Mytilus edulis: one gene and its partners. The protein of the gene in region 2 binds, or shares a complex with, the protein of the main gene of each other region. Links are inferred from orthologs where the notes say so. Each region holds a gene or a part of one and is shown on either strand. Other genes may lie near its edges. The genes, in order: pre-mRNA-splicing factor ATP-dependent RNA helicase DHX16-like, armadillo repeat-containing protein 7-like, small nuclear ribonucleoprotein G-like and probable small nuclear ribonucleoprotein Sm D1.

Region 1 (7,232 bases), on a different chromosome or scaffold from region 2:
ATTATATGAATAAAACTCCTTTAAAAGTAAATGAATTTTAAGCATAAGGTAATGAAAATAAAAAACTATAACATGAACATAAAAAAAAAAAATTTGAGATTTTTTTTTCTTTCTTTAATTTCATACATAAAAAATGGTCATTTGAAAAATGAAATTAGGTGCCAGGAGATAGCGAGAATGCAGGATTTTTCTCTAAATATATATATGCCAGAGCTTCTGGCTTGAGCGGCCCCAGACCCCCTGCCGTAAGGCACCAAGCTTACAGCTTGGTGGGCGTCCGGCTTCGCCGGACACATGTTACAGCCGCCTATAATTTTAATTGAGCCTTCTACTTACTTCAATTTCAAGATAGCCCTGCTTGAATGAAATTACAATTATATGCTCACCACTGGGCTTCCATACTGATTGTTCTTCTTGTGTTATTTTTAGAATGAACTTTTTCCACGAAAATAGGTGACGTACATGTACTTGGCATCATATGCCAATTTGTGTACACTAGAAATGTAGGTCATATCAAATAAACTAGCTAACGGAAAGAATCAAACTAATTTATTATTTTAATGAAGTTCTAAGGTAACATTATCAACAAAAAGTTTAACCGCATTTTGTTTGAATAGTTTAACCGCATTTTGTTTGAATAGCCTTATGTCCACGAATATAGGTGACACTAGGCCTACCGTCAGTAAATATTTCAAAGCAATTTTCTGTAATTGTCATGAGGAAAACAAAGGATTTCAATGTTGTGATGTCGTAAGAGACAAAATAAATTAGCCTTTCAAGACGTCAAAAAAATTTTTAAAGGCCGAATTTTAAACTGCGGAAAAGGGGGACACATTTATCCTACTGACAAGTACTGAAGTAGACTTTGTCGCTCTGTTGAGTGATGACCGAGGAATTGTTTAAAAATTCAACTTATATTTTACAAAAATTCACACTCACAGCAAGTTATTCATTGGTCATTTCAAGGATGACAACATTCACTGTAGACTAATTTCTATTTTCAATATATATACTAACCAGTCACCATGCGCGAGCTCTTTTCACAATTTAAGGAATGTCTGACTACCAACTGAAATGTTGTAAAAAATATTGTACACTTTCTTTCGGCGAATTTATATTTAAGGAAAAAAAATGTGTTTGAATATAACTATAGTCTCATTTAGGTTTAAATGGCATATTACATTTAATCAAATCCAAATTATTTTAATTTCTGAATGTTGGAAAAATAAATCAAACCCACCTTAAAATTCGGTACCTCGAATTACCGAATAACAGTGTTATTATCCGAATAACTCATGTAATTACCGAATAACTCTTCAAATATCAATATTAACACATTTGAGTGACTTTTAAGCATATATTATTGAATAAAATTATAATAGAAGTGTATTTTATAACCTAAAAATAAAAAAAAAGTTGCAGGTAAGTTAATATTGATCATTATAAAATTATGGATATCGGTGTGTACTTCCAAGATGGCGACCAAGGAAAACGTAAGAAATGAAGAAAAGAAAGATTGCATATATGCCTTCAAAGGAAAACGCTATGAAAATATAGTATTAAATAATTTACTGTATATACAGAGAATTGTCTAATAATTGTTTTTCAGAAAGGATTTGAAAATTTAACCAGTACATCAAAGCAATGCAGTTACTCCAATCACTAATTACTTTTCATAACAATTTACTCAACATTAAATAAAATGTAATTAAGAATTTTCACATATTCAATTCAAATCTAATAAAAAAAATTATTATAATTGATTGTTTTAATAAAAACAAAGCTTCTGAATGGATGATTTTTATGTTTATTCTAATAAAATTTTCTCAAAACTAAATATAAGATTTTCATTGGCAAATATAAATGTTTTTACAAGTCACTTTAATTTTGTATAAAAAGCCATGAATACATGTGTGCTGTCTTCCATTTTCAAAATGGCTTTATATCCGTGTGTTCAATGTGATGAAGAATGTGTTGATTGCACCATTCAATGCAGTTGTTGTGATCGTTGGGTTCACAGTGCTTGTGTCCCAATGGATGATGCATTGTTATTGGCCTGGTCAGATGTGTCTCTAAAGTTCCTTTGTAAGGACTGTTGCTTTACAGACAACAAGTATGACATGGCCAAGGCGTTAGAAAGGTAAGTAATTTTCATACATACCTTTTATTATAAGCTATACAAATGCGAAATTGGGTTTTTTATATTATTAATAGAGAGTGAAACATGGTACAAGAAAAATAAAATAAAATATTTAATTTCAAAGAAGACAACCTTTCACCTAGTTTATTATATTTCATTTATTTCTTATTTCATTTAAAATGTATTTAATTTACTTAATTTAAATTACTAAAAAATCAGAATTAAAAATAATAAAATAATACTCAATTAATATTCTTCTAAAATTAGTATTTACGTTTTTTTTATTGCTACTTTTATTTATTTTCATACATTGAATAATTTGAAAGTGATAATGAGTTAATTAGTTCCAATAAACAAAATAATCATTACCTCACACTTCTGTTAGATTGTTAATTGGGTTGTTGTTTACTGACACGTGCCCATTACATAATTAATCATTAAGAGATAATGAAATTATATTACAGTATGGACACTCTGCATTAAACAGGCTTGTGACTGTCTTGGTATACCAAGGCTGCATTACCAACACCAATAATTATAATAATGAAAAATAGAACACAAATAAATATTTACAACTATATACAATATGTACATCCTATGTTAGTTTTCTGTCAAAGGGTAATAATGTTCAATGTTTCACCAATAATTTTTGATTATTTAAAATAAAAAATTATTAAAAAAAGATATTTTAATAAAGTTAATTTGGGTTTTCCTGTTAAAAAAAGCTTTCTTCTGGCAAATTCGAATTTGTAAATTATAAAATATGTAAGAACTTTTGGATTATTTTAGTCATTCGATGTTAAAAAAAACCCTCTTCTTAAACAAAATACATTGCACGTGGAGTCATTGAGAAAATAGTTCAGTATTGTTTCGCATGTTTTCAGGTTGAAATTCTAAATAAAGTATTTCCGCGGACTATGACAGATAAGCCCGTGCCTTGTGCAGGATATCTTAGTAGTTATAAATTTTTTACAATAAATTCTAAATAAAGTATTTCCGCGGACTATGACAGATAAGCCCGTGCCTTGTGCAGGATATCTTAGTAGTTATAAATTTTTTACAATAAATTCTAAATAAAGTATTTCCGCGGACTATGACAGATAAGCCCGTGCCTTGTGCAGGATATCTTAGTAGTTATAAATTTTTTACAATAAATTCTAAATAAAGTATTTCCGCGGACTATGACAGATAAGCCCGTGCCTTGTGCAGGATATCTTAGTAGTTATAAATTTTTTACAATAAATTCTAAATAAATTATTTCCGCGGACTATGACAGATAAGCCCGTGCCTTGTGCAGGATATCTTAGTAGTTATAAATTTTTTACAATAAATTCTAAATAAAGTATTTCCGCGGACTATGACAGATAAGCCCGTGCCTTGTGCAGGATATCTTAGTAGTTATAATTTTTTTACAATAAATTCTAAATAAATTATTTCCGCGGACTATGACAGATAAGCCCGTGCCTTGTGCAGGATATCTTAGTAGTTATAATTTTTTTACAATTAATTCTAAATAAAGTATTTCCGCGGACTATGACAGATAAGCCCGTGCTTTGTGCAGGATATCTTAATAGTTGTAATTTTATAGATTTAAAGGCTTAGTTAACATCCATTTCTAAATCACAAATATAAAAATATGATAAAGATAATATTTTTTTAATAACTAAAATTAAAACAAAAACTAATTTAAATAGTTTACTATTCCATATTTTATTTTAAAAAATGCCCACCCTCACATTGTTCATTGCCGTGACGTGGCGTGAGGGCTCCACTTTGGTGGTCTAAGATGAACACGTTGAGGGATTGTATGCAATCTTTCTTTTCTTCATTTCTTACGTTTTCCTTGGTCGCCATCTTGGAAGTACACACCGATATCCATAATTTTATAATGATCAATATTAACTTACCTGCAACTTTTTTTTTATTTTTAGGTTATAAAATACACTTCTATTATAATTTTATTCAATAATATATGTTTAAAAGTCACTTAAATGTGTTAATATTGATATTTGAAGAGTTATTCGGTAATTACATGAGTTATTCGGATAATAACACTGTTATTCGGTAATTCGTGTTACCCCCTTAAAATTTGCAGTTACGTCCCTTGTCATGCACAAAACGTCACGAAAACGTGTGGAATCGTTTTCAATATGTCAGCCTCCAGTACAAACAAATAAAGTTCATGATTTCTCATAATATTCATCGAAGACATTCGTAGTTAGCAATGTCATCCCTTGATACATGGGTCAGCGACAAACTGCATGACATCTTAGGAATATCGGACAAATACATCTCACAATATTTGATTGGTTTGTGTAAAAAAGCAACAAGCTCAGATGGATTCATTGATAACCTCAGAGAAACTGAAGCAGTTGACATTAATCCACAAGTTATCCAATTTGCGAAGGAGTTATGGGAAAGGGTAACTTAAATAGTCTTGTAGATAGAATTATTCCAAGGCTTTGTTGGACACCTATAGCATAGGTTTCATTCGAATGTACTTTTTTTTAAAATGCCCCTCTGCGATGCTTTCGAGACAAGACAGCCCCACAGTGACACTTCCATGAATCATGACGTCCATAGGATGCATCGACCATAAAGCAAAACCTACAAATAACACATTGTCCATACTTTTTAGTTTAACTGTAGAGCATGATTCTACAGACTCTAATCTGTAACGGGTTTGCCCCAAATGTTGCCACACACCACAGATTTTCAGGGCTCAAGTCCAGGAGGAGACTATGTGACTTTGCCAACAAAATCATGTTCTCCTGGGTTATAATTGGTGCCCAATTAAAGAATCCCTCTGTCAACATATATTTGTTCCGCCTAGCAGAAGTTCCAATGGAAACTTTGTTATAAACATTGTCATAATATCTATTCCTGTTGGAACAAAGATTCTAAACAATTTATTCCGTTAGGAACATATACTGTGATTTTTATTCTTGTGGAAATAATATTCCAGAATATTTTTTCCTTTTGGAACTTATATTATGCAGGAACTTCTATTCCGTGACACCACAGTAGTTAGATAGAATATTTAGCTAGTATATTTTGTTATAAGAGTCATAATGATATGATGACTCCTGAGGTTTAGAAAGCGTGATTGGACAGCTTCCCTTAATACATATGGCAGATACACTGTAGCTAGTTGCTATAAATAATTCACATTTATATATTATATGCTATATATATATATATAATGTGTATTCTAAGTGAATTGCATATAAAAAACATAACAAATAATGTAAATACAGCATATATAATTTACCATCTACTTGTATATATCACAATACTTTTTAGAATTTAAATAAAATTTATTTGCGAAAAAAAGCTATTGATGGTGTGTCTTATCAAAGTATGGCTCTGTTGTCTTTTCATGGTATGGCTGACACAGCATGGATGTCATGTCTTGCATTGTTGACTCCTTTATCCCAGGACGTTGTTGACCTTATCTTCAAGTATAAATTGAATTTTATTATTGAATAGCGTTTAGTTTTATATATTCAAACAAACAAACAAATAAATATTTTGATTGATATTATTATTCACATATAGGTATTTATGAAGTTTTTGCTGATTAATGATAATCTGAAACAATAATGTGTTTGGATATAAAAAAGATTAATCTTTCACCTGTTTTTTTTTTTAAATGCAATTGCCATTGACATGATTAATGCTGAAATATTATTCTCCAACAGGTCAAGACTTTGTAATATATTACACAAAAAACATGTATCTATTCAAAAATCCTTAAAAAAAACCCAAATACTATGTAGTCTGTGTGTTATTGCTTGGAGTACTATTGTGTATTTAATATATGTAGATATGTTCTACAAAATGTCCAAAGGCGAAAAAAAGGATAAGTTCTTAATCAATATTTTCAGGCACCAAGAAAAGCTGTAACAGAAAAAGTAGGAAGAGTTTTAGAAAGGCAATCATTAGAGCTACAAAAGAAGAACCAGAGTTATAAACTTGTATCGTCTGGAAGTGAGGAGGATGAATATTCTGTCCAGCCAAAGGTAGACAACTCTATCCTAAAAATATATATAGAAAAGGGTGGTGTACATTAAGATTTGAATTAGTTTACAGAATCATGAATACTGTGGATTCATTTATTTTCGTGGGTACCTATTTTCATTGATTAAGAAAAAAATGTATAATTGTGGATATTTAATTTCGTGGTTTTGCCAACGTCTGCATACAAGCCAACAGAAAATTTGTCATTCGTTGAACATTTGATTTCGTGGTTCACCTGTACCAATGAAATCCATGAAAACTTGTATCCAATGAATAATAATGAATCCACAGTAAAAACATTTGGGCAAGCTATGAGACAGCAACTAAACAAACACAAACCAAATGAAATCGACTAGATGTCAACATATGTTTGTTTACAGGTGTAAATACAATATGTTATAATTTTATTACTTTTCAAGCTGAAGTTTGAGCAATGCTAGAAACACATTAATTTCTTTCAGAGACGGAAGGCAGAAAAAAGACAGAAGCATTTACGTAAGAAGCAGGAATCTTCAGATGAAAGTGATGCAAATCCAGATAGGTAGGAGTCTAGTCAAACCAAAAAATTACACTTCCATTCCTAAATGCAAATTTTTAAGCTGATACAGAAAACTAAAAAACAAACATGTACAATTTGTATAAACATTACAAATCAACAGTATACACTTTTTTTCTGGCTATGGGTATGAGAACAATAAACTTGCTATTAACTTGTAAATAAGTGTTTTATTATGCAGACAATTTTTTAGCACATAAATGATGCTTTTATTGCTGTTCTGTCATTTGGAAAAAGCTATAAAGTTCTCAAACAACAAATCCCCCTCTCGAATCAATCTGCCTTTAAATTGAAGAAAAATGTAAGATATTTCAAGCAGCAACTAAACACAAATACATATACAAGCCTTCAATAATTAGCAGAAACCATGCCCAGTCCTTCAACAGAAAACTATTTTTTGTAAAATTTTTGTAATTTTTTTTAATGGGGTTATTATTACCTTCAAGATGGTTTTAATAACATTAGGAAGGCTGCGTAAATGTCTTTTTGTGTCATTTGTTTCAAAAATCAAAGTTA
Region 2 (6,927 bases):
GCAGGAGGCAATAAAAGCAAAAAAATAAAATAGACTTTCAATATAAAAAAGAAGATGTGGTATGATTGCCAATTAGACAACTCTCCACAAGAGCCCAACACAGAAATTAACAACTACAGGTCACCTAACGGCCTTCAACTATGAGCAAAGCCCATACCGCATAGTCAGCTATAAAATGCCCCGAAATTACAATGTAAAATAATTCAAACAATAAAAATAACAGCCTAATTTATGTAAAAATTGAACAAAAAACAAATATGCAAAACATGGTTGCAACACATTTCAAGACTTCATAAACTTTTAAACTAAAAGTAGTCCAAATAATTATAACGTCTTGCAAGGCTTTTTAAAGGAAGGCGTCCAAGAAAAAAATAAAATAGAATTGCAAGATGTCATTATTATTTGGAGTAGACTAGAAGCTGATCTGACAGATCTATAGCAGATAGCACATGCCTGATAGTGATAGTGAAACTCTGTGATATGGGGACATAGTCCCCTATTTCAGTAGAAAATTAAAAAAAAAAAAAAAAAAAAAAAAAAATCGCAAATTTTTCATTGCACAAAGAACTCAAAATCGTTCAAAATTTTTGTTGTCGCGTTTTTGAAGGAGTAGGGGCATTAAGGCCTGGTTTTGGCCCAAGAAAATAAAATTTTTGATAACTTTTTCAAATTGGCACATAATCTTTAGAATTGCATAGGGTCAAGAAACATAAATGAAAAACATTAAGATTCTTATGTGATGACGTCACAATTACGTCATAATATGTACTGTTTTCACAAAAATGATGAAAATTCAGAATTTATGCAGTTTTTCATCTTTATTTCTGTTGTGGAAACATTGTGCGCAGCCAAGAAACAACAAAATAATTTAACTGAAGCTTTATTACTATTGACAAAATCTCACCAAATATAAAGTTGTTTCTTGGGTGCGCACATACTTTTCCAATCGAAAATATACTTAAAAATTTGATGAAAAACAAGGAAAATCACAAAATTTTACAAAATATGCAAATTAAGGCATGACTTGTTGCCATGATAACTTGTTCAATGTCCAAAACTATTTTGTTTTTCTGAATTCCTTCTACCTGAGATACTTTTCAGTAATTTAAAAATATGTATGATAACTTTTAAATTTGCAGTAAATTTTGGGCCAAATAAGGGCCTTATTGCCCCTACTCCTTTGCGGATCTGCGCAGAAATCTACTTCCGTTTCTGGTCTTGTTTGCATGAGACTTTGAATAAAATGTATATTTATCAGTCTAAGAAAGGAACTCAATACTAATTCATTTCTAAAAATTGTTTTTTTATAAAAAAGAACGTTATCTGATGACAGCGTTTCTTTGTTTACATTGAATATGACATCATAACTTAAATAACATCACAACTAAAATCCCTAACAACAGAACCAAAATCGGAAACGTTGCAGTATTTCTGTTTCTCTTTTTAACATGTTTGATTTAAAAAACATGAATACAGACTTCGTCCCCATTTACAGGTAATGCTAGTCAAAATAATTATGATGTCTGGCAAGGCTATTTTAACGTCATAATTAATATGAGGCAGGCATTACCTGTGAATGGGGACGAAGTTTGTTTAAATTAATTTTTTTGTAACTTAAATATTTGTTACAAAAAGAAACGGAAATACCGTAACGTTTCCGATTTTGGTTCTGTTGTTAGGGATTTTACTTGTGACGTTATTTAAGTTATGACGTCATGTTCAATGTAAACAAAGAAATGCAATGCATCAGGTAACGTTTATTCATACCAATTTGAAAGACAAAGAATGATTAAAAATGAAATATTGGTATTGTGTTCATTGAGTTCCTATATTTTACTAGACTAATCAAAGTCTCACGACAACAAGACCGGAAAAAGGAAGTAGAGTTATGTGTTCTGCGCAAATCCGGAAATTAAAAAACGCGACAAAAAAAAATTGAACGATTTTGAGTTCATTAGTACAATGAAAAATTCGGGAAATTTTCCCGATTTTTTTTTTCTTTTTTTTTTCTATTGAATTTTCTACTGTAATAGTGGACTTCGTCCTCGTGTTACATGACGTCTGGCAATGCTATTTAAATTTTTTTCTGGGACGCCTTCATACGTCTAGCAAGGCTATTTTAATTTTTTTCTGGGACGCCTTCCTAGCCTTGCCAGACGTCATAATTATTTGGATTAAGGTAAAATTAATTATTATCACTTCTTATTTAGATAATTTTAGATTTTAAAATTGCCTATTGCGTATAGTATAAATTGATATTTGTGTATATAATATTCCAGTGGATGGAACCATTATTTGTGTGATATGTACCGATTATCAGGTTATCTGCATGTTGATATCGTAAAATATCAGCTGCGAGACATAATATGAAGCTTTTTGTCGAGTGAGCGTAGCCTTCATATAATGTCAAGCAGCTGATATTTTACAATATAAATATGCAGATAATCTGATAATCGATTTATCGGGCTATATTTGCGTGTTTCGGAAGTGTTTTCTTTGTTTCACCAGCACACAAAAGATGACTTGATAAGTTCGGGTCAAAGTTATTAATGTCGGTTCAAACATTATGACGTCGCTGATATGTCCGGGTCAAAGTTATTAAGGCCGAGTCAACGTATTTGACGTCACAAAGACATGATACGGAATAATATTATGAGCTGAACAGAGTGATATTGACAGTGGGACGACCGATAATTATATATATATTCGTGGTGGTGGATGTCACTCCAGCTATAATTGGAGGTGTGCCTTGACTGGCAGTGGCAGAATTTATTATACAGATTACAGAATGCCTGCCTCATAACAAATAATGAAAATAAGGAGATGTGGTATCCACTATTTCAATAACCGAATTCAATAAAGCTTTTGTAAAAAATTTAACCAACAGTTTGTTACAATGTAAAAGATTTTGTTGAAATTTGCCTTTTTCAGATGAATATAGTCTTACTTTTACTTTCTATTTAACCGGAAATAAACATTGGAAATCTGAGTTTACGTAAAGTCCAGAGACTTCCGAAAGTTTTACAAATCACGTGACATATTGTTGACAAACTGAAAGGACCCAACAAGACGAGCCTTACAAGACTGATAGGAAATTAAATCGAGCTGATAATGAAACGTTGGATGTTGATCTTATGAACAGATATATAAGAATTCCTCTACAACTTAAGTAGCACCATCTGCAAGTAAACACTTCAGTCGACGGAGGAAACAGTCAAACAGCTTCACACAAAAACTGCAATGGCGGAGAAAAGTCCAGCCACTGCTGGTCAGGTGAAGATTGGCCACTACATTCTTGGTGAAACACTAGGAACTGGGACATTTGGAAAGGTCAAAAGTATGTGTTTTTGTTTATTACAGACATTGCCATAAAAAAAGGTCAACCAATGTTATAAATATGGCATACAGAAGGTGAAGGTCATTGACATAATTTGTATACACAGAATTCCTATTAAAAATAACTGGAACCTTGTCTAAATGATAATTAACCTACGAGTTATTCTTAGTTTGTTTCACATCTTTTAAAAAGTTGATATTTGTGAAAGCCATTAGTGCGTTTTGGGGCATCCTCACTTCTTCCCTAATATGAGGCAGGAATTACCTGTGAATGGGGACTAAGTCTATGATTTTTTTTTTATTGAAAAAATTATGCAAAAAAGAAATTCATTGAGGAAAGGCTTAATGTGAAATATGAAAAGGTACATGTAGGACAGAGATTATAATAACTAGAAATAAATAAATAAAAGCAGGACAAGAATTTTTCCACCTACGTGACCTAGCTCCTCCCCCTCCCCCCTAAAAATCAAATGGTAGCTCCCTTACCTGAAGATAAAGCACAAATTTAAAAAAGCCTTTCAACATGTTCAAGATGTCATAATGGTTTGGACTTAACTGCAGCTGTGTCTGACAGTCACTTAACTTCAACTTCATTACTCAGCCAAATCCTTACTGGTCATCTAACACACCTTATGGCTATTTAGTCTGGTCTGGAAAAAAACCAGTCATTTAGACAAATTCCTGTAAGTGTCAAGTGTTTCAAAAACAAAGGAACCTAAGTCCTTTATTTAATGGCAAATTCAAAAGCTTAACCACATCAAACAAATAGAACATAACTGTTACATTCTGGACTTGGTAAAGCCATTTCCATATGTACATGAATGGTAGATTAAATCTGGTTGTATAACTAGCCAAACCTCTCACTTGTATGACATTAAAAATACAATTGTGATTATATTGACAACAATGAATGTACATGTAACAAAATGAGTCGATTTCAGTTGCTTCGCATTCATTGACATTGTAATTTATACCTCATACATTGTACCACACATGATAGTATGCTTTGTTTTCTTTTCAGTTGCGACACATTATATCACCAGTCATAAGGTGGCTGTAAAGATTTTAAACAGAAACAAAATAAAAAGTTTAGATGTTGTGTCTAAGATCAAAAGAGAAATACAAAACCTCAAGCTGTTTAGACATCCACACATTATTAAATTGTAAGTCTCCAACATTGTATGATATTATATTCTTAAATTAACTTTTAATTTTAGAATATATTCATTGTAATTTTTATACATGTATATGTATATACATGTATACCGGTAATCTGAGAATTTGAATGTCAAAAATATTAGAAAAGTATCAGAATTCGAACAAAACATAAATTCACAAAATTCAGTGTTGATTGGTCATCAAGAGTTAAATGTTTAAGGATATTTGTGAATTCTTGGATTATTATTTCTTTTTTATTGTATTGGCTTTTAATGTAAATTCAGTTTACAAATTCTTATATTTAGAACAATTATATCTTTTTCTATGCCTTTTAATTTGTTTTGATGCAAAGTCTTTAACAATGTCCAGAAAACACCTATTGGTGACATGTCAAAAGTCAATTTTTACTTGATTAAAATGATTATACTTCTCTATAACCAATGTAATAAATCTTGTTTAAGTGTATATACATTTGTTTCATACTTTAGTTATCTCCATTTCTTGTTCATGTGTATATACATGTTTTGTATGTATGTGATACATACATGTACTTTAGTTATCTATATTTCTTGTTTCCTCTTTTATCATGTTTATAGAAATCCATTCACTTAATAGAATCCACTCTGACTTGGATGATTCAAATCTGTCTTCTCTGAAAAAGGATATTATATTAATTTGATTTTGTTGCAAGATTTGAAAGTTTGCACATTTTGGATCCATAAATTACAAAATTGTCTTGACTACTTACATATATATATATATATACATTGTAATTATCAATTATGATGACAATATTATATTTTATTTACACATTTCTAAGATAGTAGGTGGAGTTTATTTCACCAAATATGTTACATATATGTACATGTAGTAGATGAATAAGATTTTTTTTTAACTGGAAGCAGAATTTAGAGCATTAAAGTTGGTCAGGATTCTTAATAGTGATCCATTCTTACCTTAGATATAGAAAAAAGTTGTTTGAAATAGCATAATTTTATATGATTGCTGATGTCAACATTGTAATGTTTCCTTTACTGTGTATGGTTAGTCTCTTGATTCAATTTTATCTCTTCAAACTAACTCCACTTCTCTGTTCTTTAATTTGAAAAGACTTAATGTCCATTTTATTTGCTTTGTTGATCTATATTGTTTCACTGAATTTCAGTACATTTTTTGCATTTTGAAATATGTTACAAAAAAATATATATTATTTTTAGATATGATCACTGTTCCTGTCAGCCATCTTGTTTTAATTATTGAGAATATCTTACCATGCTTACAGTTAACTCATCTCTGTACAAAATACCTGAAAAAAATCCAAATAACAATCTATAAGTAACTTCATTGGAATGATTGTGAGTAGTGTAGATTCTCCTTTTCCTGTCTTCACCAAACTTTGGCTCTGTTTTTCAACCTTATTTGATATCAATCAAAGCTCAAGTGTCAAGGTCATCTGGTTACATTATTTAAGAAAAAAATATTTTAGAATTAAAAGGTATATCTATTTTTGGTCTGATTCATGTTTGCCTAGAATATAAAACAAATATTTTAGTCCAGTCTTTGTTGATGTAATGAATTGTTTAGCCAAGTACATGTAAAGTATTTTGAATTTTGATGATGATCATGGTAAAATGTCAAAATTTTGTGGGAAGAAATAGTCCGGTATGTGGGATAATCTTATTGCCATTTTGGGATGCCTTCCAAATACCTATTTATAGATATATTTCTGAAATCTCTGTTTAATTTCTATTAAGAGCAACAATCATAAAAAAAACATGACTTGATAGTTGATACATGTACATGGATTTATTCGGTCAAAATATTTGGTGATATCATTCAACTTAGTTAGCTAGTTTAAAGCAAATACAGAGAAAAATTTCAAAAGTGGGACCATTTAAAAATTAGACATTTGTATATCAGTTGTCTTATCCTGTCTACATGTATATGATAGTCCAATTAAATATTAATTTTACCTAGATGCCTTTGACATTGAGACAATCTTACTTTGATGGAATCGCTTGAATTGTTTTGTGTTGTATTTTATGAGACCATAGAGTCTTAGACTTTAATTTACAGAGAGAATAATAAGAAATTTAGTTAATAAATGTAAGTTTTATATGTATCAATTTTATTCATGTTAATTATACATGTAGATATACATGATATATATGAAATAGACACTTTTTTACATACATGTATTTGTGTACTATGTTTTTCAAGTCGACTTAAAATCCTTTTACATGCCTTTCTTCTTATGTTAAATCTTAATTTTATTCAGGAAAGTTTTCATTTAAAACTTGTAGATAAATTTTTTTATTCAAACACTTTCTTGTCAAATTAGAAAAATACTGATTTGACTCCAATTTTGGTTGTATTTAATTTGATGGTTAATTTTTGTTGCGTAATAAAACCTCAGGTATCAAGTGATGAGTA
Region 3 (7,795 bases), on a different chromosome or scaffold from region 2:
CCTTCATGATCAGTTAACTACTGATGTATGTCAATGTACATTCAGTAGGTTAGGTATATAAATGCACAGTAAAAGTTGGGAGTCAGAAATAAAAATCTGGTCTCTGACGGAATGCATGATACAGAGATTAGCAATACTCATAAAACCAGAGTTTTTGAGAACCCTGGAGATTACAGACATGTTACAATGGCCAATAAACCTTGATTTATAGCTAGAGGTAGTTATAAACAATTGTATGCAAGCATCAAATTTTTAAGTCATAAATCTTGTTGGCTACTTACAGCAAACTCTCTTTTCCATGAACCTGAAATAAAGGAACATCATATAATTATACATTTACAAGTTTAAATTCTGTGTACAAAGGTATTTGCAAACATCATCAAAAATATGACTGATAAACTGTTTTCATTCAAGACTTGTTTCATACCGAGCAGCTTAAAATTGGACCATCTGTATTTTGGATACCAATTCATCAGCAAGTCTCAGAGGGTGACAAACAGACCAAGAATGCTCAAAACCAATTTATTTTGGTGCATAGTTTAATTCACAGTTAACCCTAGCTGTGGAACCGTAGCTCTTAGGTCCTTATGGTTTTTTTAAACTATTTTGGTAGTGCATACCATATTGGCATAGATTATTTCCATTTGTATTCATTTTCCACCTACATGTATAATGTTCAGCCATTGCCCAGATTGAATCTTCTTGTGATGTCACACAAAACAAGAAAAGATAACTCTCATCACTCAGAGCTCAGACATAAACAAGTCATTTTTATCCCCCCCGACTTACAGTGAGTCAAAAATGCATTTTAATATGATTATTTATGTCTGAGCTCTGACTGCTTATAGTTAAACACGTTGGTTTGTTTTTTTGTATTTTATTTTGTTTTAATGACTTTTAGAATGAAAGACATTTAATTGAAATTTAGTACAACATAATAATAATCCTTCCCATATTGTTAGAATTATTGTTGTAACACTTGATTCTCACTTAGAAATAAGTGAATGAAGTCGGCTTCATATCTTGACTTACATCTAGAAATTGACAATGAGGGTCGGTTGAAAACAAAACTTTACGACAAAAGAGATGATTTCAGCTTTCCAATTGTGAACTTTCCATTTCTAAGTAGCAACATTCCAGCAGCACCTGCATACGGGGTATATACCTCCCAATTGATACGATATTCCCAAGCTTGCATTTCCTATCATGATTTTCTTGAGAGGGTTACTGCTCACAAGGAAGCTATTAAACCAAGAGTTCCAAATGGTGAAGTTGAAATCATCCCTTCATAAATTTTACGGACACCATCACAAGTTGGTTGACCGGTATGGAATAACCATTTCACAAATGATATCAGATATGTTCCTTATGTCGTAACTACAATCCCCTTCCCTTTCATGAATGTGACCTACCGAATTAGACTATTTTCTGGATTTGTAATCACATAAGCAACACGACGGGTGCCACATGTGGAGCAGGATCTGCTTACCCTTCCAGAACACCTGAGATCACCCCTAGTTTTTGGTGGGGTTTGTATTGTTTATTCTTTAGTTTTCTATGTTGTCATGTGTACTATTGTTTTTCTGGGTTTTTTTTCCATTTTTAGCCATGGCGTTGTCAGTTTGTTTTAGATTTATGAGTTTGACTGTCCCTTTGGTATCTTTCATCCCTCTTTTAGAAATAAGATAACCAAACCAACATGTGTTTTCCTTTTTGTGTAGGCGGTCCTCTCTTCCAACATAGGAGATCGAGGATATTATTAGAGTTATCTTTTCTTGTTTATCATTACGTCATGTTTTCAAGTTAAGATTTGTCTGGGTTTTTTTACAAGATGTTTCTGCAATGAAGCCAGTGCGGTCTTGTAGTTGTACCACTTTGGCCATGTAGGCATGTAATAGATAAAATTTACATGTAGTCTCTCATACTTATATACATTGGACTATATATGTGCGGATTTGTGTTATTTAGTTTTAGAAAAAAGTTTAAACGAGGCTTCACTTATTTAGATACTACTGATGCATTTCAAACGTGTTCTTTTGTAAATTTAATGTCTTAATTGAAATAGAAAAGGGAAGTCCCTGGAAACAATAATAAAACTAGGTTAAAAATTTAAACTTTTATCAACACCAGAAAACTGCCATAAAAACAAAAAAATATAACCTCCCTTTTCACGACTTTTACCCAATCTGTAAAGTTTAAGGGTCTTATTATAAATAAGGCTGTGTAAGTGACATGAATAAATGCACTAGTATATAACCCTATGAGTATAGTATCCTAAAAGATCCTTAAAGATCGCCGCTGCAAAGACCGACTCACCATGGCATACAAGATCCGCAATAGATTGGTGGATATTGACCCCTCTAATTATTACAAACCCGGAGATTCAAGGACCAGAGGAGGCCACCGCATACACCAACAGCGCACTCTAAAAGACCAATACAGGTACTCCTTCTTCCCAAGATCAACCAGGGAATGGAACACTCTACCGGAAAAAGCCACAACAGCAGCTACACTAGAAGAGTTCAAGGCCAGCCTTACCATCCTGCCAGAGGCCTTGACAGGAGCTTCACACACCTAGATCTCCTTTGACCCCAGATGTACATAGTTTTATTTGTAAATAATTTTCCTGTAAATAGTTTTTATTAAGTGAGGAGGGAAGGCCTCATGATTTCACGAGCAAGAGTCATTTATACACTCAAGAAGAGTCCGACTCTGTACTGAAAGAAGAAGAAGAAGAAGTGAAAGAAGGCAAATAATTTCTTTTGAAAATTATAGAGGCACAAATCACGAAATGTCTTGTAATTTGGGTCTTTAAATGTCCTGGAAACACATACAAATAATTTCAGTCGTGACTTACTTTTTCAATTCTGGAGGATGAGCCTTACTCATTGTGATTAACAAGGATTATTGTCGGCAGAGCCGGCAAACAACAAAAATAGATAATGGCGGAAAAAGCGTTCCGGAAACGACAGTCGAACGATAAAACACAGAGTCGATACCGGCAATACTATATTTAAGAATTTCCGGATTCTCTCTTTTCACATGCTGAAAATTAAGGATTTATAGTCCATTTGAAAATTACTACAAAGTAGTCTGAATCAGGGAGATATAACAACCTTTATGCCTTATTGCGTACCCTTTTCTGTGACTAATATTCTTTTCAATACATTTAGATTTTGTTTTTAAACTTGTCTTTTTGCGGAAAAAAATACATGTTTTATCACAATCCACATTAATTGACTACGTCATGAAATTTGATGCACAATAAATCAGCGCCATTGGACAAGGAAATTTTGAAGAAAAATCCAAAATATACAATTTTTGCGTAGAAAATTACATCAAAGCAAAAAAAGTGAGCAATACAAAAGTTTCCTTTATTGTGTTATGCACCGGATTGCATAGACATTAATTTGAAAATGAGTTGCCATACACAATAACTTCAACTACAATGACTTATGACGTTTTTGGATGCTGTTTTATTTGTTATAGTGGTTTCTTTTATTTTTTGCATCAACAGTTTCCAGTCGTATAAGGGCACAAATCCTTTTTTATGTCGTAGACGTCATTATAAAAATATCCAGCAGATCATAGTTAGCTCTTTTGGTCCGAATCCATGACAAATCGCCCCACTGGCAAATAGCCCCACACCTAATCGCCCCACTTTTTCACAAACTCGCCCCACTTTCTAAAAAAACGCCCCACTCTTGTTTACCAACTCGCCCCACTTATGAAAAGGGTAAACTCCCATTGCAAATAGTTATGATAACATGCTCCCCTTATGAAAAGGGTTAAAATCCCGCTGAAATACGGTCTGTCAACTTTCAGCCCCACTCATGACAAATAGATAAACCACATATAAAAAAGATGCAATCCCGTTGTATATCTTTGTCCCTGCCCACGTCATTACCTTTAAACACCAAAGTGAAGTGCTATAAAATCAAATTGCTGTTAAAAACTCTGTTTTTGCAATAAAGTTATATATAAATGTTAATCACGCATCAATAGTATGATTATGATACAATTAACAGGTTTCTTTTCAATTGTTATACAAATAACTAAGCTTACAAGTATAAAGTTATTCTCCAATAATGATACAAAAATGTAATTGCAATTATATTTTAAAAATGTTAAAAAAGTTTAATAAATTTCGTTTTTTTTTTTTGTATTCTGTGTAGATTACAAAAATCAAAATAAGTCTTCATTTAAGTGCGGCTAGTTGGTAGACCTGAAAATTACATATATAGAAGTAGATTTTTCCCTTTTTTCAATAAGTGGGGCGAGTTGACAGGGGAAAATTAACTGGATTTAACCCTTTTCACAAGTGAGGCGATTTTTTTTTAAAGTGGGGCGAGTTGGTTAACCAGGTTGGGGCGATTTTTTTGATTTTTTTAATGGTGGGGCGAGTTGGTGAAAAAGTGGGGCGTTTTGCCAGGGGGCGATTTGTCCTGCTTCCTTTGATCCTATGCCAAAAGCCAAATAAATATCAGTGGGTAGAATCCATGAAAAAGGGTACAACTTCACGGTATCAGGTTCGTTCGCGCCCAATACACTTTCGCACCCTACACGTTCGCACCTCGCATGTTCGCACCCAAGGTTCGTTCGCACTTTACACGTTCGCGCCCAATTATAATTCAAATTCCAGTAGAATAATTGGAAAATCATGATTGTTGTTATTAATTGCTTTGGTGTAAGTAAAACATTCAAGATTTTAAATGAAAAACACAAAAGATAATTGTTTTTAACAGCTTGGTCCCTTCGATCTTAAACAATAAAATATAGCAATACACTTTTATAACCATAACATGATAAAAAAATTTCAACACACAAAAAAAAATCGTAGTCAGAATCTCACTTTATTTTGAAACAAGTCAATGAAATAAAGTTATGGCAATACACTAACCAAAACATGATTAAGAGTTATTCAACACAAAATAAAACGTTGACAGAATCCCACTTTATTTAGAAAGGATTATTTATTATTTTTAACAATACACTATCCAAAACATGATAGATATATTCAACACAAAAAAAAAATGCTGTCTCACTTTATTTTGAGACAATGACAACAAATATAAGAATACACTTGCCAAAACTTGATTACAAAGCTACACAAAACCAATTAAAATTGGGCGCGAACATGTAGGGTGCGAAAGTGAAAGGGGGTGAACATGAGTGGGCGCGAACGGACCCGGATTCCAACTTCACTACAAGTCGAATCAGCACCGGTACCTCGAATGACTGAATAACACTAATAATGACTGAATAACACTTGAAATTTAATATTAGCAAATATTGGTGACTTTTAAACATTGATTATTAAATAACAGTATACTGTCGATGCATTTTACCAAATATCATGCAAAATGCTCAAATGTTGAAAACTTTGAATACTAATTAAGTTGAACAAAAAAAATACATACAGAAACCCTCCAAAAATGTCAATGAGTCAATACTGTGAATACAACTTTTTGCTTAAAATACTGAACAAAACATATGTTAAACATATCTTTCATGGGTGCCGAAATGACTATATCAGGTGCTGATTTAACCAGGTGCCAAATTGACTAGGTGCTGATTTGACTGTACTGGAGGCTCCCACAGGGTACCCCCCTCAGGTCGCAAGGTCACTTTTAAATTCGTCGTTAGGTCGCGCAGTCGTTTTTAAGACAAAAGTACAGGTCGCAGGTCGATTTTTCCAACATAGAGGACGCAAGTTGTTTTTATATTTAAAGGATCCATTCAAGTCATTGGTGTGTTATTAAACCAGGGACATATATGTTCTTGGTTAAACCTTTTAGTTTTAAATAAGATATTTGAACATTTTGCCACATGCTTTTGGGTTCAGTTGTTCTTGTTTTGTTTGAGACCATCCAGAGATGGCTGTCTGTAAGTGGGAAGTTCCTGCTCTATTGAAGTTGGTGTCGTCAGCTCTAGATTTAATTTTGTGTAACATTTAATGATCAATATGTGATGTCTTCGTGTCATTAAGGGTATTTATAAACCCATATCCGTTCTTTTCCATATTGAGACCAAAACAGGACTTGAACTTTTCGATTTTTCAAAACAGTAGTTTTAACCAAACATTCAGTATTTCACTAATCCTACACAATATTGTCTTCTTCCACATACTGCCTGCATTCAACTTTCAGAATATACTGGCAAATTGGTTCTGCATGGTTAAAAACAAGATAGGTAGGTCATTTCAGATTTGAAAGTCTCAAATGACTGTGCTGTGTCGATCTCCGGGGGAAGCTTGTTCCAGTCTTTTGTGGTGTTCACACAGAGGGACCATTTCCTGCAGTCGTTGGTTCGTTGCACCATGTATCCATGTAGTTTCTGTTGTGTACGTTTTGATATTCTAGTTTGTCTTTGGAGGTACATGTCTTTGCTGATGGCTACTTTGTCGTTGACGATCTTGTACATCATTGCGAGCCTGACCTCTCTGCGTCAATCTTGGAGGCTCAGACTTTTCCAACCCAATTTGTTCATCATGTCTGGGACACTTGATCTGTTTCTGTGGTGCTTGGTGACGTATCTTGCAGCCCTCATTTGAACTTTTTCAATTTGGTCAATATGATTTTGATGATATGGGTCCAATATGGTTGTGGTGTATTCTAGTTGGGGCGTTACTAGAGTTTTGAATGCTTGCTCTTTGATGGTTATAGCCGATTTGTAGGTTTTGTGGAGGAAATCATGGCTTCTGCTGGCTTTGCTAGTAATGTTGTTGATGTGTTATCCCCAGTCTTACCCCAGGGAAAGTTTTTGACCAAATATTAAAGGGGATTTATCTTGAGTTACTGGACAGGATGATAATTTGTTGCTTCATATTTCATTGTATTTCTGAAAGGATTTCATCTGAATATGAAAGATGGAATTTTGGGCTATAGATATTTTATTTTGAATAATGTTGCATACATTATGCCTCCAAAAATAAACAACATATGGGCATCACTATATTTGTTGTTATTTTCATTGTTTTATTATGATGTATACTAAATGGAAAAATTGCTAAATTTATCGTTTCCATTCTCTAACTTTAGTTTGCCTCAAACAAATATTATAATACTTTGCACAATGATAATTACCACAAAACACAGATCAAGTTTGAAATTTGGAGGCGTCACTTTTATCGTTCTCCTGTTCTGCTTCTTTTGCAAATGGAAAAATTGCAGGATTTTTTGTTTTTGTTTTCTAACTTAGGTTTACCTTAATTAATTGTTATAAAATGTAAACACAATGCTTATTATCACAAAACTCAAATCAAGTACAAATTTGGGTATTATCACTTTTACAGTTCTTGAGTTATGTCCCTTTATAACATTATATGCAAGCAGGGGCACATTCTGCATAATTTATTTATTTAAGATTATTATTGATTTTCTTCAAAATGGATTGGTTAAAATATCTTTGATAATAAGAGTTATTTTCTCTGGAAAAAAACATAACTGATAATATAAGCTGACATTGTAAGCAATGCCTAATTCCTGATATGTTAAAACATGTATGTAGCTTTATAGGTCTCTGATTACCGTAAGAAGTGTATTGACCAAATGGTTAAGCTATCAAATATGAAATATTAAAAGATTTTACTCAGACTTTTGAACTTCAGAATTTTTCATGCCATACTGTTTACATACAACTTGAACATGTTGAAGTTACAGATTCTGCTTGTCATTCTTTCAGATGACAGAAGGTGACCAAACTTACACAGTATTTAATACAGATAACCAACAGACGGTAACAGTAGCCATGCCTGATGACCAACAACAAGCAGGAATTCAATACATTACACAAG
Region 4 (7,743 bases), on a different chromosome or scaffold from region 2:
ATGTGGCAATGAGACGTACGCTTTTAGAATTTTGGAATTATCTACTGTAACCATGGTTGCAGCACAAATGTTCAAAATTTCCAAAAAAAATTAAGTGCTGCAAACTGGATGAAACTTTACAGGAATAGTGACTGACATGTGCGGAGTTCCATTTTGAAGTTGAAATTTCCAAAATGGCCGCCGTAACCATGGAAACAGCAAAAATATCAAAATTTTCAAAATGCTTCAAACTTAATGAAATTTTGCAAAAATGATGACTTGCATGTGTAGATGCACTCTTTGACTTTGAAATTTTCAAAATGGCTGCCGCTCGCCTGGCAATAGGGGGACGAGGGTGCCATCCGTTATTGCTAGCAATTACAAATCTAGTTATTATTATTATTCCATCTATTTTGTCCGGCAGTTTTCTCGGAGCAAATGGAACCAATCTTAATGATAGTTAACTATAATGAGGAACACAAAATTCCAGGTTGCAGTAGGTCTTAAGACCATAAAAATGGCTGCCGTTACCATGGAAACGGAACAATTGTGAAACTGAAATTCCAGTTTTTGGTTTTAATGAATTATTTGGAGTTGCTTTAACTTAGAATCAATATATTTTGATACAATGTAGGTGTCGGGCATATACTGGTTTTAGATGATTTTGGCAATCATTGGAACTATCATGTTGCCATGGAAACTACACCAAAAATTTCCAAAATATCAAAATGCTCCAAATTTAATAAAACTCCACAGTAACGATGAGCGACATTGGAAGATGTGCAATTTGGCGTTGGAATTTCAAAAATGTCTGCCGTTACCATGGAAACAAGTCAAAAATGGTGAAAATGCTTCAAAAACCTTAAAGTGGCATTTACTTTCTTAAAATGGTAGGTCAAATCCATTGAAACTTTGATGGTATATATATGTTCCCTCCCATGTACCAATGTGGTATTTGCCATTAGAAATTTGGAATGGTATCTGTTACCATAGAAACCAGCCAAAATGTCAAAATTTTCAAAAATTTCAAAATGCTCCAAAATTGATGAAACTTACTATATTTGTTGACTGTCAAGTCTACATGAGACTTTTGAAGTTGGAATTTCCAAAATGGCCACCGTTGCCATGGAAACTGCAGAAATGTCAAATATTTTCAAAATGCTCCAAACTTAATGAAACTTAATATTATTGTCAACTGGCATGTATAAATGAGACTTTTGACTTCGGAATTTTCAAAATGGCTGCCGTTGCCATGGAAACAGAAGAAATGTGAAACTTTTGACAATGCTCAAAATGTACTGAAAATTTACAGAAAGATATATCGCAATGCGTTGATCTGCATTCACTGTTAAATTGTTTTCAAATGGTTGCCGCTTAGTGGCAATAGGGGAAGGGTGACATCCGCTATTGCTTGCAATGGCAATTCTAGTTTTCTTTTCTTTTTATCAATAGCGTTTGTAGTTTATTTCAACTTATTAGGCTTTATTTGTGATGACTTTTAAACTACCAATACTAAAGTCAATCTAAAGTATCTGCAATTCTCAGAACTAAATGTAAAAGCCATACCAGTGCATGGAGAATTAAAGTTTACGTGATATTGAGGTACCTCTTGGTGACAGTACTACACGGAGCATTTCACGCATGTTATCATCATCCGGCAACTGAAATCCAACGATATTTTATAGATAATCAAATACCATGGGCCGCGTTCAATATCGTAGCTGCTACGTAGTATATTTTGATTATTGAATGTGTAGCTATAGACTAGCTGCTACATATATATTGATAGCATGCAGCTACATATATACGTAGCCGCTACGTAGCTGCTACGATATTGAACTCAACCCTGGCATATTACTTAGCAAGGAAAGATCATGTGAGCGCTGGCTAAATTCATTACTTAGCAGATGAACTCTTGTAATGATGAACACATGGGACTAGATTTAAAAGTTCGGCTTTTCCAAAGCTTTGTATATAGCCACGTCCCTGACAATCTCGTGTTTAATTAGCAAATGCGACTGTTAATTGCTGTCAAAAGATGAAAAGATATGAAGTGGGTAGTCAGCTTCCAATCTGAAAATACACTTTCTTTCTTAAAATAAGCAACATCGACAATTTAATCAGTAAAATATAGATCTCTGATTACGATTCTCATATGTAGTTTAACGTAATCAGATATCGATATTTTAATTAGATCGCAACTGCGAATTTTTAGAAGTACCTTAAATAAAAGTCGAGTTTTCCATTTATTCCTGCTATATGCTATAACTGCTCTCCTTAGGTAGTTGCATCATATAGATCATGTAAAGGCCAGGTAATTCCAAATAATAAATAAAGAACTGCGCCATTCATGTGCGCATGATGATACGTCGCCTGTCGGTAAATAGCTCTACAGAGCTCATGTTTACCTTGTTGAATTGTTTATATCATGCCCGACTCTAAATAAAATTTACTTACCCCCCCCCTTTTATAAAAGTTCTGGATCTGCCACTGTTACTTACGGTGTTTCAACGAATACAGTTCTATTTCTCCTCAATGTCATAAAAGAAATTTATAATAAAATAAAAAAAACATAAAGGGAGCATTTCTTGATAAATATAAACCAGTCACCAAAGTTTTATGAAAACTGTTCGAAGCTTTTTTCAGTTGTTGTCCGAAAACTGGAAAATCACCTTTTTTGCGAATAAAATCCCTTTACTTGGGAACATAAAATCTAAAATGATTAAAATCGAATGGAAGATTACGTCAATGGATATAAAGTTTCATGAAAATTGGTTATTTAAAGCGGTTTTGAGTTATTGACCCATATTCTGACTAAGAACTGACGGACATACGGACAACAGTATACCATTTTACGTCCTGCAAAAGAAGTTCAAAAGACAATAATAGCCTTCAGAAATATCTGGACGCCATGCAGCATTTGAATTCGACATGGTTGACACTGTTTACCCCGTTTAATGTGATGTATATATAGAGGTTCATATACACTTGCAGTCCATATTAATACACATATATATAATGTATAGGAATACATCATACATGAAGCAACATTCACATTTCAACAGCTATTAAGCCGGAGAAGTACCAATATACCAGGGGTATGTCTGCTATGTATCATTCCGCTCAGACTGGTACTAGGGACCGTTATAAACTTGCCGCATCAAGTTAACGATACAGCGGGAAGAACCTTAGTGCGATTGTTGTAACATTAAGAAGCCCTGTTAACAACTATTAGTGAAATAAATTTAAAGTATCTGAAGTTGAAAATAAAACAAAAAAAAACTTGCCGCAGTGAGGTGAGAGGGGTATATGATGCTTCTAGTTGAAGGCCTCGGTGTGACTTTGAGATGAAAACAGCAACAAGAGCGCTGTTTATTTGCTATACTGATTTTGTGTCATGGATGGATACCCCAAATCCTTTATTTTTTCTATTATTATATCATTATCTTATTCTGAACTAATAATGGACTATGATAGGATAAATAAATATCGCCATCAAATAGATCAATCCCTAACACTACATATTGCAAAACTTGTGACTTAATTAACCAAGACATGCATTGATACTAACAGGAAGAAAAGAAATTATTAAACAGTTGAACACATTGAACACCCAGACACGGATGTGAAAACACCTCTGTCACAAACAACAAAAGATACCAACGAAAGAACAGCACATATTTATATGATCTTAGATCATTTTAGGAGTTTTAGGAGATTTGATCTAGCAAGCCCAAATCCTGATACCTAAAAATTAAGGTACCGCGAGTTATCACTTAGCCTGAGAAACTAGGGCAGTGACTCATATTTTTTTCCCTTTCTTTTCTTTTCTTTTCTTTTCTTTTGTTCTCTTCTCTTTTGTTCTCTTTTCTTTTCTTGTCTTCTCTTTATGTATTACTGACACCAGTAGACTAAACTGAGAACGAGAACCACCATATAGACATCTAAGACAATGGAGTGAGTCCCCAATGGAAGAAATAATCTTTTTGTTATGGTAATTGTAGAATCAGGATTTGAAACAAAATAATACACATAAGACAATGACCGTTTTTTCTGTTTCTTTTTTGGAGTATTTTTTTGTATTCTTTTATTTTCTATTTGACAGTATTTCAAGGCTAACAATATTTTTTGTAAACTGTTCAGTTCAATTTGTCTCCACTAGTCTGGAATGTTATGACAGCTGATTCTATAATTTAAAGTACCAAGTTTCATGAATTGAAAATTTAAATAATGTTATCAAGAGGGGGGGGGGGGGGGGTTATCATGTAACCTTTTGATATTTATAAACCTGTTTTGGCCTTTTTCAAGGTGTTGTTTTAAAACTGTTATCTGAAATGAATTTAAACTGTTAACTGTTTTCAACCCACTGTGTTAATCAACATTTTTGAATTTGTTGTTTTGTTGTTAACTGTTTTTGCCAAAATTGAGATGTAGTTAACATGTTAACGGACCCCTTATTGTCCCCTTTCTTATATATGTCGCTGTTAAATTATGCCAAACACATTGGTCTCTGAATAGGCCAATTGTAAAATCATAAACTCCAATCGACTCCTTTAATGTGTGAGTGATGATTGATTAGTTCGTTATTATATATTTACATCAATCCTTACAATGGTAAGAGAAACAAGAAATGGATAGTAATTAATTCAATCTTGTCGGCTTTTTTAAAAAGCTAATATTTTGCCCAAAAGGGTAACAGGAAGGGAAAACCATTTAGTACCAGTCGCTAAAAACTTTCAGCAGGTCGTTGTTATGTTTTATCTCAAGACCAAAATAGGCACTCGGTCAAGCGTTTAGTTCATACGTAAACAAGACGAGCCGGTTGCCGCCATTATTAATATTTTTTCCTGTACATGGTATACAAATCCATGTAATCATGAAGCTTGTGAGGTAATAGCAATTCCAATAATTGGAATTTATATAGATGAATGAAGGGAAGGTGCAATAATATCGTTATTTTGTGGATTGTTGCAAACATTCATTAAGAAAACTCCAATTAAAATGACGAGTGCCCCACGCTAAGTCTTTATCAAATATATTGAACAATTTATATGGAATTCATCCCTCTGTGACATAGTTTCTGATATGACGGAACGCAGTATTTTCTGCACTGGAAGCCCTTTCCATTAGATGCATAAATTCACCTCTTCAGTCTAGAATGTTTGCATATTTTTAAACCTGTTTTCAGCTATGATACGAGAAAAATATATTTGACAGAGGCGCTTCTTCCCCCATTTTTGTTGCTTCAATCTTGTCTTGATTGACAAACAATTTACAAGTTAATTCAATGTACAAGATATATACATGTATCTGATTTTGAATCCTTTTCCTGATCCGGAGCCCTCCAAGCACAGGCACTCGTATATACCTTTATATAACACAAGTAGTCCGAGATTACTCTGACGTCCAACGGCTGTTTTGCCAGACAAGCTGGGGCCGTGGGACGTCAGAGCTCGTCCCATATCAAAAAGTGGATATTTTCCCACCCAAAATAGATGCGCTGCTTCGTCGCTTCTGGTGCTGACTGACGGCCTTGGAATTATATAAATCGGGCATCAATCTGTTCATTTTTCATTTATCTCTTCATTTATGTAAGTTTCACTTACCTGCCAACCTTTATTTTCTCATTATTAGACAGTTTTCACAGTGACCCATCGATTTCGGCATTTTGACATTTGGTAAACATGGTATAGGCAAATCAAATACTATTAAAACAAAACAAAGGGAATTGCATGTACTTTATCAAGAGCAAAAACGGGGGAGGTCTACATGTTTAGCTATGCATGATTCTGACATCCATCCTTTGAGTTTCTGGGAATAGAATTGAAGACGTATGTTCTGTATTTGCCTTGCAGACTTCATTGACTTTTTTATAATACAGGTTGGGGAAAATACTCATAAAATTGGTATTGGGTACCAACATATATTGACCAATGTTACTGGAATTAAATAAGCTGACATCAGGTACATACTGTTATATAAATTTGAAAAGCCAAACATGTAAAACATTTCGCAAAATAAAGTAGAGCTTTAATTTGTGAGATGATCATGAGTCTTGACAATTTTGATTTTGTTTTACAGATTTTTGATGAAATTGTCCCACGAGACAGTCACTATTGAACTAAAGAATGGAACACAGGTCCATGGAACAGTAACAGGTATTGTCTAATTGCAAAACTTCGATAAAAAATCCCTGCCTTGGATACTTTGCAACAGCACTGTACCTATTTTTTTTGCAGATGGAGACCATTATTCAGAGCAAGTTACAAATTGTACTGTATTTTGGTTAATGTTTTAGTCGGATATTGAGTTGTCAGATTTCACTAAAAAGATAACTGGTTATAAACCCATTTTGCATACTATGCTTTTAACTTTTATATGTCATTTATGGTATCTTATGTTTAAAATTGTGCTCTTTTAATGACTGTATGTGTGTACAAATGTATATATTTTGTTATTCACTGGATTTAAAACCTGAGACAGTAGAGCTTGTGTTTATATACTATTAGTTTATTGAATATCAAATACATATTATTTAATTTGGTCTTATTCATAATACGAACAATAGTCACATCGAATAAAGCTTATATAAAATTCCTTTATGACTAAAAAAACAATGCACAATTATATAAATGAATTTTAACATTGAAAGATGATTATATTTGTAGGGGTTGATGTCAGTATGAATACCCATTTGAAATCTGTAAAGATGACAGTTAAAAACAAAGACCCAGTACAGCTGGACACACTTAGTATCCGTGGTAACAATATCCGATATTACATCTTACCTGACAGTTTGCCACTTGACACATTATTGATTGACGACACACCTAAAGGACGTGGTGGATTTAGAGGTGGAAGGGATAGGGGTAAGTAATCAACATTTTATGTTTTTTAGGTCCATCACTTTCACCATTAAATAGGGAAAATGGTCAATAGACAGCAACTTACAAATTAATATCTCTGAAAGTCACAAATAAATAGTTGAAAATCGTACAAACACACAAAAAAACTCTTGTACTAGTTTCTTTTTATGAAATACATTAGTACTATTATTAATAATAACAGTGAGGTTGAAACACTTTTCAGACAGTGACAATTATTATTTATTAGTATGGTAGAAATCATACTAGCAGTTGTCATGGTGGTAAAAGTTTTGATATGGTTTGCAATTCCCACAAAGTTATTAAAATATACCTGTAAATAAAAAAAACGTTTGTTATCATCGAATTATAAAAAATTGAAATTGGGATTGTTATAATACATTATAAGGTTAATATAAAGAGTTTTCCAATAAGCGTCAAAACAGGATCATTGAAATTAGATAGAAGGTTAATTAATTTTGTGAAATCTACAATGTGGTTTGTGAACTTAATGCTTTTTCAATTGGCTCTCTTGATTATTTGCTACCTTGTTACAATATGGTTTTGAACATTGTAATGCTGTCACATTTGACTCAAATTATATTTTTATTTCAGGTGGCCGAGGAGGTAGAGGAGGACGTGGTGGTCGTGGCGGTAGAGGTGGTGGTGGTGGTGGAATGAGAGGTCGTGGACGAGGGCCACCAAGAGGAAGACGATAAACTCTTTTATGTGTAAAATCAAAGACAAAGTGAAAGTAGAAAGGAAATCTACAGCTATATATTGTTTTTTGACCAACAGCAAAAAATTATGTTGTAACTTTCTTTTATTCTTTTGTTATAATATTCCTGATAACATGCAGACATGAAGAAACACTATTCTTTTGTGAAATTTTTTCAAGTAT

What was found.
Region 1: armadillo repeat-containing protein 7-like (region 2) and pre-mRNA-splicing factor ATP-dependent RNA helicase DHX16-like share a complex: the UniProt entries of both Homo sapiens proteins name them as parts of the minor spliceosome. The link is inferred for Mytilus edulis from reciprocal best matches to the Homo sapiens genes ARMC7 and DHX16.
Region 3: armadillo repeat-containing protein 7-like (region 2) and small nuclear ribonucleoprotein G-like share a complex: the UniProt entries of both Homo sapiens proteins name them as parts of the minor spliceosome. The link is inferred for Mytilus edulis from reciprocal best matches to the Homo sapiens genes ARMC7 and SNRPG.
Region 4: armadillo repeat-containing protein 7-like (region 2) and probable small nuclear ribonucleoprotein Sm D1 share a complex: the UniProt entries of both Homo sapiens proteins name them as parts of the minor spliceosome. The link is inferred for Mytilus edulis from reciprocal best matches to the Homo sapiens genes ARMC7 and SNRPD1.

The regions. Positions count from the first base shown.
Region 1 is NC_092345.1:3,144,561-3,151,792, forward strand, and holds the start of pre-mRNA-splicing factor ATP-dependent RNA helicase DHX16-like, read left to right. Parts: upstream 1-4,231; 5' UTR 4,232-4,364; coding exon 4,365-4,562; intron 4,563-6,027; coding exon 6,028-6,162; intron 6,163-6,621; coding exon 6,622-6,701; intron 6,702-7,232. UniProt on the Homo sapiens protein: Required for pre-mRNA splicing as a component of the spliceosome. Contributes to pre-mRNA splicing after spliceosome formation and prior to the first transesterification reaction.
Region 2 is NC_092344.1:113,819,638-113,826,564, reverse strand, and holds the start of armadillo repeat-containing protein 7-like, read right to left. Parts: upstream 3,026-6,927; 5' UTR 2,948-3,025; exon of another isoform or gene 2,932-2,947; intron 2,920-2,931; exon of another isoform or gene 2,886-2,919; intron 1-2,885. Other genes in the region: 5'-AMP-activated protein kinase catalytic subunit alpha-2-like, read left to right, coding at 3,241-3,337, 4,358-4,499, 6,911-6,927. UniProt on the Homo sapiens protein: As a component of the minor spliceosome, involved in the splicing of U12-type introns in pre-mRNAs.
Region 3 is NC_092347.1:25,799,526-25,807,320, forward strand, and holds the start of small nuclear ribonucleoprotein G-like, read right to left. Parts: upstream 3,008-7,795; 5' UTR 2,890-3,007; coding exon 2,858-2,889; intron 305-2,857; coding exon 282-304; intron 1-281. Other genes in the region: nuclear transcription factor Y subunit alpha-like, read left to right, coding at 7,684-7,795. UniProt on the Homo sapiens protein: Plays a role in pre-mRNA splicing as a core component of the spliceosomal U1, U2, U4 and U5 small nuclear ribonucleoproteins (snRNPs), the building blocks of the spliceosome.
Region 4 is NC_092348.1:3,032,596-3,040,338, forward strand, and holds the start of probable small nuclear ribonucleoprotein Sm D1, read left to right. Parts: upstream 1-4,733; 5' UTR 4,734-4,855; coding exon 4,856-4,869; intron 4,870-6,060; coding exon 6,061-6,137; intron 6,138-6,647; coding exon 6,648-6,848; intron 6,849-7,457; coding exon 7,458-7,561; 3' UTR 7,562-7,743. UniProt on the Homo sapiens protein: Plays a role in pre-mRNA splicing as a core component of the spliceosomal U1, U2, U4 and U5 small nuclear ribonucleoproteins (snRNPs), the building blocks of the spliceosome.